Linked DNA regions of Callithrix jacchus. The protein of the gene in region 3 interacts with the protein of the main gene of each other region in a biochemical or structural test. Links are inferred from orthologs where the notes say so. Each region holds a gene or a part of one and is shown on either strand. Other genes may lie near its edges.

Evidence for each region.
Region 1: the proteins of HIF1A (region 3) and NAA10 form a complex in vitro, tested with the Homo sapiens proteins (4 studies listed by BioGRID and IntAct, with this or other methods). The link is inferred for Callithrix jacchus from reciprocal best matches to the Homo sapiens genes HIF1A and NAA10.
Region 2: the proteins of HIF1A (region 3) and KPNA6 form a complex in vitro, tested with the Homo sapiens proteins (2 studies listed by BioGRID). The link is inferred for Callithrix jacchus from reciprocal best matches to the Homo sapiens genes HIF1A and KPNA6.

The regions. Positions count from the first base shown.
Region 1 is NC_133524.1:149,841,386-149,845,446, reverse strand, and holds the end of NAA10 (N-alpha-acetyltransferase 10), read left to right. Parts: intron 1-152; coding exon 153-198; intron 199-300; coding exon 301-416; intron 417-614; coding exon 615-659; intron 660-1,694; coding exon of another isoform or gene 1,695-1,831; coding exon 1,832-1,916; intron 1,917-2,432; coding exon 2,433-2,714; 3' UTR 2,715-2,780; downstream 2,781-4,061. UniProt on the Homo sapiens protein: Catalytic subunit of N-terminal acetyltransferase complexes which display alpha (N-terminal) acetyltransferase activity. Acetylates amino termini that are devoid of initiator methionine.
Region 2 is NC_133508.1:68,746,633-68,752,223, forward strand, and holds the start of KPNA6 (importin subunit alpha-7), read left to right. Parts: upstream 1-2,010; 5' UTR 2,011-2,013; coding exon 2,014-2,107; intron 2,108-5,591. UniProt on the Homo sapiens protein: Functions in nuclear protein import as an adapter protein for nuclear receptor KPNB1. Binds specifically and directly to substrates containing either a simple or bipartite NLS motif.
Region 3 is NC_133509.1:96,454,996-96,459,948, forward strand, and holds part of HIF1A (hypoxia-inducible factor 1-alpha), read left to right. Parts: intron 1-935; coding exon 936-1,058; intron 1,059-1,179; coding exon 1,180-1,613; intron 1,614-4,953.

The DNA of each region.
Region 1 (4,061 bases), on a different chromosome or scaffold from region 3:
GATCCAAGAGGCTCCCAGCCCTCCCCCAGCTGGGGTCTTAGGTGGCTGTAGGGCCAGCCTAGAGTTTGCATGTCCACTCTACGTATGGCAGGGGTGGGGGTGGAGGTGCCTACACAGAGCTCCTTTGCAGCCTCACCTTCCTCTCTCTCCAGGGAAGAAGACCCAGATGATGTGCCCCATGGACATATCACCTCATTGGTTTGTAGAGTCCACCCAGGCTCTGGTGGGGGTGGAAGTGGGGGTTAGTTGGGGCAGCCCTCAGGGTCCCAGCCCCTCATCCCCTCTCTGCTCTTCCACCAGGCTGTGAAGCGTTCCCATCGGCGCCTCGGTCTGGCACAGAAACTGATGGACCAGGCCTCTCGAGCGATGATAGAGAACTTCAATGCCAAATACGTCTCCCTGCATGTCAGGAAGAGGTGGAAGCTGGGCTGAGGGAAGGGGGATTGAGGGGAGAGATGCTGCCTTGACGGGAGTCCTGGGGGCCTTGGCTTTTGGTGAAGACCCGGGAAGTGGGATTGGTGGGAAGGAGGCACCAGAGGGGAGGGGCAGGGCCTGGACATGCTACCCTACCTGGCCCAATCCGTGCAGCTCAGCAGTGCCTTGTTCTCCTGCAGTAACCGGGCCGCCCTGCACCTCTATTCCAACACCCTCAACTTTCAGTAAGTAGATCTTGGTGTCTGTAATGGGTTGGGGCTGGTCCCAGGTCTGGCTGTCAGGGCCGCTGAGACCAGCTGAGCTGCTTTCCAGGCAGGGGGTGGGCTAGCTACGGGGAGGAGGCTGTGGATCCCAGCGCTGCCAAGATGCCTCCCCACTCACTTGGTGGCTGATGGCTGAAATGTGCTCCATGTGTGTTGTGATGGAGGAGCTCTGGCCCATGCTGGCTGAGGCTGGTGAAGGGCACAGGGTTGTTTAGTCATGTTTGGGAATAGAGATGTGTGGGTCTCTGGCATGAGCAGATGCTAAGGAGCAGGACTCTGTGTGACCAAGCGCCTGGAAGCATCTAAGAGAGAGCAGAAGCAAGGAGAATGCATGTTCAGGAAGAAAGGGCCGGCGGCCAGGCAGCCTAGTGGATGGGGCAGGTCTGCCGAGGACCCGGAGGCCCCGTTTGCCTGGCCCAGGAGAGAGAACCTGGCAGTCAGTGTGCCCAGTAGACAGTGGAAAAAAGTGCTTGCAAGTGAAGCTGGGGTGGGCTACCCGTGTGCCCGTGGAGGGATGCTAACTGCACTCAGCACCAGTTTGACTGTTGGGAAGGGCGGTGGCCTCGGCTGGGTGCTGGCAGGAAGGATCTGTGACCCAGATGAGGATGTCTGGTGGAAACTGCTTTATAGTGAAGTCAACAGTCCTCATGTCTGAGGTCTGACAGGGCCAGCCTTCCAGGACATGGCCACCCGAGCCTGCACGCGTGCCTCCCCAGTGCGGGCTGGGCTGTGCTGCATAGGGATGCAGCCCTCAAACGGGCTCACCCACGTTCCTGTATTTTCATCACTGTGGTGAGGCAGCTCAGTAAGGGATAGGAAGCAGGGCAGAAAGGGAAGGGGAAGGCTGAATTCAGGGCTTCAGCTCACAAGAAACCACAGAAGGGGAATCCTTAGTAGCCAGGCTAAGGACACAGAACAGGAACAGGACAGGGGTGGGGCGGGCCACTGTTACCTGGAGCCTTTACTGGAAGTGGGGCCACTGGAGGATTCTTTCAGGCTGGACTTGCTGTCTCAGGATGGAGCCTTCAGGGAGAAAACATGTCACCTTGCTTCAGTAGCCATGATGCCAGGAGCAGAGGAGGATGTGTCCTGGGTATGGGTCTTCCTCCTTGCTCTCTGCCCTCTGCCCCCAGGATCAGTGAAGTGGAGCCCAAATACTATGCAGATGGGGAGGATGCCTACGCCATGAAGCGGGATCTCACCCAGATGGCGGACGAGGTGAGAGCGCTGCAGTTTAGCCAAGCGAGGCCAGTGGGGTCGGCCCTGTGGGCGGGGGGGAGGTGGCGGCACTTGAGAGCCCTGGGACAGTGGCTGGAAGCAAGACCAACTTTGGGCGCCAGCCCTTGTGGCCACATTGCCAGGACTCACGGCCTCAGTTTCCTAGGCTGGGCTTTAGAGGAGGCTGTCTGCCTAGCAGCAGCCTGGAGGGTGGTGGGAGAGGCAGACGGAGGAGGCTTTTAGAAGGGAAGTGGGACAGCCTGGGACCAGTGGGTGGCCTGCCTGCTCAGAGGTAGTTCTGAGTCAGGGTTCTGCCCAAGGTGGCAGGGCTGTTGAAGGGGCAGCACTCGGTCGTGGGGGCCTCCATGGTAGTCAGTGAACCCAGGGAGCAGTGGGCAAGGCTCCAGCCAGGTGTCCCCACTCAGTCCCGTGTGTCTTTCCTAGCCCTGCTGCTTCTCATTATGCCCGTCCCCTCAGCCAGCGACAAGTCCAGGCTCCCCTTGTCTGGAAACTTAGGCCCTGTATCTTTGCTCCCGCTTCTCCCTGGGCTCCTGGCGGCAGCTGAGGCGGCACCTGGAGCTGAAGGAGAAGGGCAGGCACATGGTGCTGGGCGCCATGGAGAACAAGGTGGAGAGCAAAGGCAGCTCACCTCCGAACTCAGGAGAGGCCTGTCGTGAGGAGAAGGGCCTGGCTGCTGAGGATAGTGGAGGGGACAGCAAGGACCTCAGCGAGGTCAGCGAGACCACAGAGAGCACAGATGTCAAAGACAGCTCAGAGGCCTCCGACTCGGCCTCCTAGAGCCTGCCCCGGCCCTTCCTCACCCCACGAGCTTTCACAATAAATTCGCTCTATGGCACTGGGGAACTTTGTGTGTGTGTGTGTGTGTGTGTGTGTGTGTGTGTGTGTGTATGCGCACGTGCGCTTGCACATTTAGAAGGTGTGTTTCTCCAGCTCCTCTGTCTGGTGGGGATGTGAACCTCACAGCCTTTTAAGCCAGGGCATCCTGCCAGGCCCGAGTAGAAGGGAGGAGCTTTGTGAGAGCCTTGGGGGTGGGACTCCCCAGTCTCATAACCTTCAGCAGCTGTGGCCCCAGGGAAGGAGGCCCTAGACTTCCGGGAGAGACCCTGCCTCAGAGGCCTGCTCGGCCACGCCGAATGTGTTTTGTGCAAGCCTCGGCCGCTCAGGCTCAAAGCTCAACAGCGGGCTCCCATTCTTCAGTACTTCTGCTTGGCTCTTGAGTGTCCCACCTCCAGCCCTTTTCTCTCCTAATCACACTTGCTTTGGGCTACAGCAGCTCCACTACACCCCGTGGGCTTCAGATGTAGACATCCAACTGCTCATTGGGCCTGTCTACAGCTGTCCTGTCTGAGTAATGACCCAGCCAGATGCCCAGTTGCTCAAGCCCTGTCAGTGGTCCTTGAGTCCTCCCTCCCCTGCTACCCTAATGGTCAGTGAGTCCATGATACCTCTTGGGTCTGCTCCCTAACCTGAGTTTGCAGTTGAAAATAATTGATTTTTAGTACAGTTCCCCCCGTTTCTCCTACTGACATTTTGTATTAGTTGGTGTGTTGGTTTCTGTTGATTAGCCAATACTGATATGTTATTGTAAAGTGTAGCCCATGTTTCACAGTAGGGTCCTTGTCTGTGTTGTACAGTTTCTATGGGGTTACACAAATGCATAAAGCTATGTATCCCCCATTACAGTTTCATGCAGAATACAAAACTGGGCAGCTGTTGGGTATGGTGGGTCACACCTGTAATCACAGCACTTTGGGAGGCCGAGGTGGGCGGATCAGTTGAACTCAGGAGTTGACCAGCCTGGGCAGCATGATGAAACCCCATCTCTACTAAAAATCAAAAACAGCGAGGCGTCGTGGTGCACACCTGTAATCCCGGCTACTTGGGACGCTGAGGCCGGAGGATCGCTTAAGCCTGGGAGGTGGAGGTTGCTGTGATCCCAGATCATGCTACCACACTCCAGGGACACATATATATCAAAATCCTGTTTTTCATGGAGTCACCCAAACTCCATGTGTCTTTGCTCCCTCCTATTCCCTCCGGCTGCAAAGCCATCACTTGTCTCTGAGCGGGCCCTGTATTCCTGAGCCGTCTCTATACACAACATCTCTGCTACTGCAGGTGGCA
Region 2 (5,591 bases), on a different chromosome or scaffold from region 3:
TTCAAGCAATTCTGCTGCCTTAGCCTCCCGAGTGACTGGGATTTACAGGCACCGTCATGCCTGGCTAATTTTTGTAGAGACAAGTTGACTAGGCTGGTCTTGAACTCCTGCCCTCAGGTGATCCACCTACCTCAGCCTCCCAGAGTGCTGGGATTATAGGCATGAGCCACCTCGCCTGGCCTATTAAGTGAATCTTAATCTTTTTTTTTTTTTTTTTGAGAAAGTCTCGCTCTGTCTCCAGGTGCCAGGCTGGAGTACAGTGGCACGATCTCAGCTCACTGCACCCTCCACCTCCCAAGTTGCTGGGACTACAGGTGCGCGCCATCACGCTCAGGTGATTTTTGTATTTTTTAGTAGAGATGAAGTTTCACCATGTTGGCCAGGATGGTCTCAATCTCTTGACCTTGTGATCCATCCGCCTCGGCCTCCCAAAGTGCTGGGATTACAGGCGTGAGCCACCTTGCCTGGCCAGTCTTTATCTTTCTTAGTACAGGCGTATCCTTGTGTCTCTTGAAAGCAGTTTACTTTGATTATTGCTTTTGCCCGGGTCTAAAGACAAGGCTTTAGTTAACTTGAATTTGGTATTAGATACTAGCAGGAGTCAATGCCTTCTTTAGATAATTACAGCCTATATTAGTTTGCTAGGGCCACTATAACAAAGAACCACAGATTGGGTGGTTTAAACAACAGAAAAGTATTTTCTCACAGTTGTAGTGGCTAGAAGTCTGAGATCAAGTTGTCAGAAGGGACCAGGCACAGTGGCTCATAGCTGTAATCCCAGCACTTTGGGAGGCCAGGGCAAGCCTATCATGATGTCAGAAGATCGAGACTATCCTGACCAACATGGTGAAACCCCATCTCTACTAAAAATGCAAAAATTAGCTGGGCATGGTGGCGGGCGCCTATAATCCCAGCTACTTGGGAGGATGAGGCAGGAGACTAGCTTGAACCCAGGAGGCAGAGGTTGTAGTGAGCCAAGGTCACACCACTGCACTCCAGCCTGGTGACAGAGCAAGACTCTGTCTCAAAAAAAAAAAAAGTTTACAGAAGAGTTGGTTTCTTAGACCTTTGTTATTTATTGGCTTCTAGATAGCTGTCTTCATGTTCACATGGTGTTCTCCCTCTCTTGTTTTAAGGATACCAGTTATGGATTAGGGCCTACCCCAGTAACTTTATTTACCTTAATTACCTCTTTAGGGACTCTATTTCCAAATTCAGTCACATTTTGAGGTATCAGGGTTTAGGACTTCATCGTATGAATTTGGAGCAGACGATGATTCAGGCATTTTAGGGCCCATACCTATTTTGTATTATCATTGCTAGTTTTTTTGGTTTTGAAAGCTTAGAAAGTGCATGGCAACATTAGACATTTATTCCCTAGAAATGGAAGGTGTAACTTCAGAGACCTATTCACTTTGAGAGAGTTCCTTGTCTAAGAAAACCCACAGAAAACTGGATGCAGTGGCTCATGCCTGTAATCCCAACATTTTGGGAGGCTGAGGTGGGTGGATCACCTGAGGTTGGGAGTTCGAGACCAGCCTGACCAACATGGTGAAATCCTGACTCTACTAAAAATACAAAAATTAGCTGGGCATATTGTCAGGCGTCTGTAATCCCAGCTACTTGGGAGGCTGAGGCGGAGAATCACTTGAACCCAGGAGGCGAAGGTTGTGGTGAGCCGAGATCATGCCACTGCACTCCAGCCTGGGCAACACAGTGAGACTCTCAAAAAGAGAGAGAGAGAGAGACAGAGACAGAACCCAAAGACAGTCTAGGACAGTCAGATGCTAGAAAAGATTTATTCGTATTGTAGATCTTAAAAAATTCATCGACAGCAAGTAAGGGAGTACATAATGGAAAAAGCCACTGGCCTGCTGTTTCCCTGAGATTCCAGATGTGCTTTTGCAGATGTTCCTCCTTCCAATCTAACCTCCCTTGTCTGCTTCCCCAGTGAGGTCATAAGCAAATATTTGTGTTAGTTTCTTGTCACCATGGTGACTAAAGAAGCTCAGCATGGTGCTCCTTCCAGCTTCACTGTCAGCTGTGCTTGAAGGAGAGGCTAGCGTCCAGGACAGCCTAGGCTCAGTCATGAAAAGCCACGTGTCAGGTAAATAGGGGACAGCAGTTCACAGTGCTGCCTTTAGAAATCTGTCCTCTACCATGTTAGTCTCACAGGGATAATCAGGCCTCAAAGGGAGTGCAGTGGCACAGACACAGCTCACTTATAGCCTCAACCTCCTGGGCTCAAGTAATCCTCCTGCCTCAGCCTCCCAACTAGCTGGGACTGCAGGTGTGTACCACCATGCCAAGATAATTTTTGTATTTTTTGTGGAGATGGGGTTTCACCATATTGCTCAGGCTGCTCTGGAACTCCTGGGCTCAAGCAGTCTGCCCACTTTGGCCTCCCAAAATTCTGGCAATATAGGCTTGAGCCCAGGCTACAATGCCAGTTTAAAAAAAAAAAGAAAAAGATTATTCCAACCTGGCCAACATGGAAAAACCCTGTCTCTACTAAAAATAAAAAAGTTAGCTGGGCATGGTGGTGGGCACCTGTAATCCCAGCTACTCAGATTACAAGAAACTCACTCAAGAAAATCACTTGAATCCAGGAGGCGGAGGGTACAGTGAGCTGAGGTCGCACCACTGCACTCTAGTCTAGGTGACAGAGCAAGACTCTGTCTCAAAAAAAAAAAAAAACTTCGTGGTAAAATGTATGTAACAAAATTTTTCATTTGAGTGTACAATTCAGTGGCATTAATTACAATTACACTGTTATGTGACCATCATCACCAATATCTATTTCCAAACATTTTACTGCCTCTAACAGAAATTTTTTTTTTTTTTTTTTTTGAGACGGAGTTTCGCTCTTGTTACCCAGGCTGGAGTGCAATGGCACGATCTCAGCTCACCACAACCTCTGCCTCCTGGGTTCAGGCAATTCTCCTGCCTTAGCCTCCTGAGTAGCTGGGATTACAGGCACGCGCCACCATGCCCAGCTAATTTTTTGTAATTTTAGTAGAGACGGGGTTTCACCATGTTGATCAGGATGGTCTCTATCTCTCATGATCCACCCGCCTCGGCCTCCCAAAGTGCTGGGATTACAGGCTTGAGCCACCGCGCCCGGCCCAGAAATTCTTTACCCACTAAGAAATACCTCCCTATTTTCCTTTCCTCTCAGCACCTGGTAACCTCTAAGCTACTTTCTGTCTCTGAGTTTGACTCTAGGGACATCAAGTAAGTGAAATAAGATTTGTCCTTTTGTGTTTTGCTTATTTCACTTAGCATGTTAATTTCAAGGTTTGATCATATTGTAGCATGTATTAGACCTTCATTGCTTTTTATGGCTGAATGATATTCATGGTATACATATACAGTAGTCCTTTTCTTATCCAGAGGGAATATATTTCAAGATCCCCTGTAGATAGCTGCAATGGCAGATGGTACCAAACCCTATATACTATGTTATTTCCTATACATACATACCTATGACAAGGTTTAATTTATAAATTAGGCCCAACAAGAGATTAAAAACAATAATAAGAGAACAGTTATAACAGTATGCCAGCATCATCACTCTTACACTTTGTTAAGTAAAATAAGGATTACTTGAACACAAACCCTGCAATATCTGCTACGAGCTGGCAGTGTATATAGTGTGGATACACTGTACAAAGAGATGATTCATGTCCCAGTTGGAATAGAGCGGGTTAGTGTGAGATTTCATTATGCTACTTGGAATAATATGAAATTTAAAACTTATGAATTGTTTATATCTGGAAATTTCCATTTAATATTTTCAGACCACAATTGTCTATGGGTAACTGACACTTTGCAAAGCAAAACTGTGAATAAGGGAGGAATAGTATAAGAGTACAATTGCTGGATTATATAGTAGTTACGTTTAATTTTTTTAGAAACCACTATTCTGTTTTCCACAGTGGCTGTACCATTTTCCATTCTTACCGGCAATCTACCAGGTTCTAGATTCTAGCCAATGTGTGCTTTTATTATTTTTATTCCATCCTAGTAGGTGTGGATTAGTATCTCATTGTGGTTTTTAAAACTTTTTTTTTTAAAGATGGAGTTTTGCTCTTGTTGTCCAGGCTGGGGTGCAATGGCGTGATCTCAGCTCACCTCAACCTCCGCCTCCCAGGTTCAAGTGCCTCAGCCGCCTGAGTAGCTGGGATTACAGGTGTGCACCACCATACCCGGCTAATTTTGTATTTTTAGTAGTGGGGGGGTTTCTCTATGTTGGTCAGGCTGGTCTCAAATTCCCGACCTCAGGTAATCAGTCTGACTCGGGCTCCTGAAGTGTTGGGATTATAGGCGTGAGCCACTGTGCCTGGCCTAAAACTTTTTTATTTATGTTTTTCAATCAGCTTTCTCAGGTTGAGTCATTGTAACTCTACCTCCTGAGTTCAAGTGATTCTCTTGCCTCAGTTTCCCAAGTGGCTGGGATTACAGGTGCCGGTCACCGCCACACCCAGCTAACTTTTGTATTTTAGTAGAGACGGGGTTTCACCATGTTGGCCAGACTGGTCTCAAACTCCTGACCTCAAGTGATTCACCAGCCTCGACCTCCCAAAGTGCTGGGAGTACAAGCATAAGCCACCGTGCCCAACCTTGATTTGTATTTCTCTAAGGACTAATGATGTTGAACATCTTCTCATATGCATATTGGCCATTTATATATGCTTTTAGAGAAATGTCTATTCAAATTGTTTACCCATTTTTAAATTGGGTTGTCTTTTTGTTCAATTGTAGAAATTCTTTATTCTGGATGTTAAACCGTAATCAGATACGTAATTTGGAAATATTTTCTCTCATTCTAGAACATGTCTTTTCACTTTCTTGCTGGAGTGCAGTGGTGCGCTCTTGGCTCACTGCAAGCTCTGCCTCCTGGGTTCAGGCGATTCTTCTGCCTCAGCCTTCCTAGTAGCTGGGACTACAGGTGTGTGTCACTGTGCCCAGCTAATTTTTTTGTGTTTTTAGTAGAGATGGGGTTTCACCATTTTGGCCAGGCTGGTCTCGAACTCCTGACTTTGTGATCCACCTGCCTTGGCCTTCCGAAGTGCTGGGATTACAGGTGTGAGCCACCATGCCTGGCCTTCACTTTCTTGGTAACATCTTTTGTTGTTTGTGCTTTTGGTATGATGTCTAAAATTCCGTTGCCAAATTCAAGGTCATAAAAATTTACCCTTATAGTTTCTTTTTTTTTTTTTTTTTTGAGATGGAGTTTTGCTCTTGTTACCCAGGCTGGAGTGCAACGGTGTGATCTCGGCTCCCCGCAACCTCCGCCTCCTGGGTTCAAGCAATTCTGCCTCAGCCTCCCAAGTAGCTGGGACTACAGGCAGATGCCACCACACCCAGCTAATTTTTGCATTTTTGGTAGAGACGGGGTTTCACCATGTTGACCAGGATGGTCTAAGTCTCTTGACCTCGTGATCCACCCGCCTCGGCCTCCCAAAGTCCTGGGATTATAGGCGTGAGCCACCGTACCCGGCCCTGTAGTTTCTTTTTAATTTTTTTTTTCCCTGATGAGCGGTCAGACTGGATCCTCCATAGTGTCTTCTAAGCGTTTTGTGGTTTTA
Region 3 (4,953 bases):
GGTATAGGAGTATCTCCTATGCCCTGCTTGCTTAATTTACCTAGCACAAAAAAAATGTTTGATTCATTTTGGTTTTTGTCTAACAAAAATAATAGAATGATGAAAGCAAAATTCCTTGTTTAGAATACACAGCTATAGTTTTTTGTTAAAATTCTTGCCCAGAACTCTTAAAATAGTAATAATGTATATTCATTCAGGTGTATGCAGGTAAAAGCACTTAAGTCTCTACTCCTACCCTCAACTGTAGCTGTGAGATTTTTAGGTAGCTCAATCACCATAGAAGTGTGCCTTCTCATTTCAAAGGTAAATTCCAGAGAATGTAGCATCTAGTTAATTGGTCAGTTAGGTACCATTGTGGGATGTAAATTACCAAAAATTGGTTTTATTCTTTAGAATAAGATGTTTCTTTTAATTTTAAAAATGATGTTATATTACATAGTCAGAAATACGTACATTGGCAAAATTAGTTACCAGTATAAGCTTCAAAATGTCATTTTTTTCACTAAACTTTTAAAATTTTTTTTGAGACGGAGTCTCACTCAGTTGCCCAGGCTGGAGTGCAGTGGTATGATCTCGGCTCACTGCAACCTCGGCCTCCTGGGTTCAAGCTTTAGCCTCCTGAGTAGCTGGGACTATAGGCGTGTTCCAGCATACCCAGCTAATTTTTGTATTTTAAGTAGAGACAGGGTTTCACTATTTTGGCCAGGATGGTCTTGATCTCCTCACCTCATGATCCACCTGCCTCAGCCTCCCAGTGCTGGGATTACAGGCATGGACAACCATGCCGGCCTCGTTAGATAAAATTTGATAAACATGATGGATTTGGTTGTGTGTTTTTTGTTTTTTCCTGAGATCTAGTTTGAAAATTCTGACAACTAGCAAAGTATATGGAGGCTTCTTCAGGAAAAACTGAATATATTTAATTCTCTTTACAGCCTAACAGTCCCAGTGAATATTGTTTTTATGTGGACAGTGATATGGTCAATGAATTCAAGTTGGAATTGGTAGAAAAACTTTTTGCTGAAGACACAGAAGCGAAGAACCCATTTTCTACTCAGGTAAATGAACTTATTTGTTTTATATTAAATTTCATTAATTTTTATTCTGAAGTGACTTTAACTTGTTTTTTATATATAAAGTGTGGCCATTGTAAAAACTCATGTATTTGCTGTTTTAAAGGACACCGATTTAGACTTGGAGATGTTAGCTCCCTATATCCCAATGGATGATGACTTTCAGTTACGTTCCTTCGATCAGTTGTCACCGTTAGAAAGCAGTTCTGCAAGCCCTGAAAGCGCAAGCCCTCAGAGCACAGTTACAGTATTCCAGCAGACTCAGATACAAGAACTTACTTCTAATGCCACCACTACCACTGCCACCACTGATGAATTAAAAACAGTGACAAAAGACCGTATGGAAGACATTAAAATATTGATTGCATCTCCATCTCCTACCCACATACATAAAGAAACTACTAGTGCCACATCATCACCATATAGAGATACTCAAAGTCGGACAGCCTCACCAAACAGAGCAGGAAAAGGAGTCATAGAACAGACAGAAAAGTCTCATCCAAGAAGCCCTAACGTGTTATCTGTCGCTTTGAGTCAAAGGTATTTATGTGTAACATTCAAGTTATAGCTCTTTTATTATTTTTGAGAAAATGTATGTGACAGTACATAATTTTTAAATGTATAGCAAACCTGATGTATATGCTCTAAGACAAATTCTTAAGCACTCAAAAAGTTTTCTAAATTAACCTCATGTATTTTTTTCTAAAATAATTATAAATTCTAAAATTACCTATCTAAATGTAAGAGTCTTCTGACACCTTTAAAATAAAATCCAGCTCAGGAAGTTCTGTAATCAGATATACTTCTTGAATTTGTTTAAATCAAGACTAGTTAACTACCCTCGCTACTTAGATATTTCCATTTCTTTTTTTTTTTTTTTTTTTTAATTAGAGACAGGTTTTCGCCATGTTGGGCAGGCTGGTCTGGAACTCCTGACCTCAGGTGATCCGCCTGCCTCAGCCTCCCAAAGTGCTGGGGTTACAGGCATGAGCCACTGCGCCCAGCAGATGCTTCCATTTCTTAGAGCTCTTTCTTTAAGCTTATCTGAAGAAAAGCCCTTCCAATTTAAGGGTTATTTCCAATTGCACATTCCAAATTGAGTCTTCCATCTTTAGCATTCAATATAGATATTTACAAGCCCCTCTTTCAAACTGTTATTAGAGTTACTTATATTAAAGTTGCTTTTATTTTTCATTACATATTTGTAGAACCTTAGCTCGCTCTCTCTCTATATATATATTACAGGCAATATAGGTTTTTGAACTCTACAACAGGAATCTAAGCATGACTTAAGACATTACTTCTTAGGAGCTAGTTCAGACAAACATATGGACACAACCCAATTTTTAAGTTATACTTCCTGTGTATAATTGGCAAGGGGATTTCACATATTTTAAGTTTGAGGCTATAGCTAGAAGAAATATGTTCTGGTTTATAAGTGTGTGGAAGAGGGAAATGATTGCTACTCTAGTATGTCTAGACTGAGCCAGATATCAATATCAATAGTAAGGAATCACTGTTATAGCCAGAGCACATAGGTTTTTTTTCCCTGCCCAGCATTCTCACCTTGACGTAGTGCTGGGAGGTCTTTTCCCTAAGCTAGGAAAAGATCTCAGGACTTTAGATGAACTCAGAAGTACTACTTTACATTCTTTTATAAGTTACTGTGTCACTAACTCAGTTTTTACCTTGAGCTCCGCTAGGGCAATTACAGTATCTTGGGCATTTTAGTGATACTAATACTTAGCTCATGACCTAATGTGTAGTACTTCCTCAATAAATGGTTGTTGGGGCAGGGCGTGGTGGCTCAAGCCTGTAATCTCAATGCTTTGGTAGGCTGAAGCATGTGGATCACCTGAGGCCAGGAGTTTGAGACCAGCCTGGCCAACATGGTGACACCCTGTCTCTACGAAAAATACAAAAATTAGCTGGGTGTGGTCCCTGTAATCCCAGGTACTTGGGAGGCTGAAGCAGAAGAATTGCTTGAACCAGAGAGGCAGAGATTGCAGTGAGCTGAGATCATGCCATTGCAATCCAACCTGGGTGACAAGAGCAAAACTCTGTTTCAAAAAAAAAAAAAAGGTTGTTGGACTGACAGATGCATGAATACAGTAATATAAATGACAGTCACTTATCATTTACAGTTTACTGTTAGCTACAGAGGATGGGTATCCAGTTTTCTGAATACCTGACACATCAGGTCACTTTAGCAATTCTTTTTAAACATTAATTCCAATGTCGCATGCACTGAAAACTTTCATGAAAGGAACCTCAAAAATACTTGGAAGTGTTTTTTCCTACCTTGCAGGTAATTATTTATAAAATTAAAGTGCTGTACCAAACCAGGAGACTTAAAGCTTTAGGATTAAAGATAAACCATGAAAAGCATAACTACTAAGTACTGTTAGTACTACAATGTTTTCATAATAGACTGAGTTACATTTCTTAAAGACAATATATGTTTATAAGAATTTTTAAACCTGCTTGTCTCTATAATAGAAGGTTTATAGAATTAAAAAAAAAAACTAAAGAAAACTGCAAAATAAGAGAGCAGTTAGATCACTTATCTATTTGGCACTCTTAACTATCTGGAACAGCAGGGAGTCTTTATGATTATGCATTTGGTTGTGGGGAGTCTTGAAAAGTCAAAATAGTATAACAAAGCTGATGTACTTGACTCATTAGAACAGTTCTTCACTATTTAATATTAATGTTAGATATATATAGTTCATGTTTGATAACCAGATTAATATGGAGGGCAAAATAGCAGAGTGGTAAGAGCAGGGGAGAGGAGGTGCAGATATAGAGACCTAGAGTGTACTTCAATATCTGCAACTAGTGAGCAGTAGGACTTTGGGAAAGTTACCCAATAGGCCACGGGGTTCTCATTTATAAAAAGGGTATGATATGCCTGTCTTATCTACCTTGGGAACCTGAGTGAGGTTAAAATGAACTAATGAAATGTTTCATAAACTGAAAACACTATACATATGTGAAACTGATCTTGAATTTCAATAGTCCCAACAATATCACTACATTGTTATATTAGGTGGAATAAAAGGATAATGTTTAACTATTTTGACTCTACAATGTCAATTTAGTTGTGTTTGGCTCTGTTTTATAAAACAGGGATACGCATAGTGTAGAAAATGTTCTGCTAAAAATTAAGCTTTGAATGCCAGGCGCTTATGCCTGTAATCCCAACACTTTGGGAGGTTGAGGTGGATGGATCACTTGAGTTCAGGAGTTTGAGACAAGCCTGAGCAACATGATGAAACCCGTCTCTACAAAAATGTGTGTATAAATTAGCCATAATCCCAGCTACTCGAGAGGCTGATGTGGGAGGATCACTTGATCCTGGAGGCAGAGCTTGGTTGCAGTGAGCAGAGATCATGTCTCTGCACTCCAGCCTGGCTGACACAGTGAGACCTTGTCTCACCAAAAAAAGAAAAAATTAATAAAGCTTTGACTTCAGAGTTTAGCTTTTGTTGCCCAGGCTGAAGTGCAATGGTGCAATCTTGGCTCATCACAACCTATACCTCCTGAGTTCAAGCAGTTCTTCTGCCTCAGCCTCCCGAGTAGCTAGGATTATAGGCATGCACCACCATGCCCAGCTAATTTTTGTATTTTTAGTAGAGATGGGGTTTCTCCATGTTGGTCAGGCTGGTCTCAAACTCCTGACCTCAGGTGATCCACTCGCTTTGGCTTCCCAAAGTACTAGGATTACAGGCATGAGCCAATGGCTCGGCCCAGCTTTGACTTAAGGTGATAAACTTTAGTAATTAGGAAAGTTCTCATACGTATATTACATTCCTTAATATTGGAAAACTAAGGAATTAGGTATTTAAAAGAGCCCACTGGGTATTTTTTTTAAAAAGTA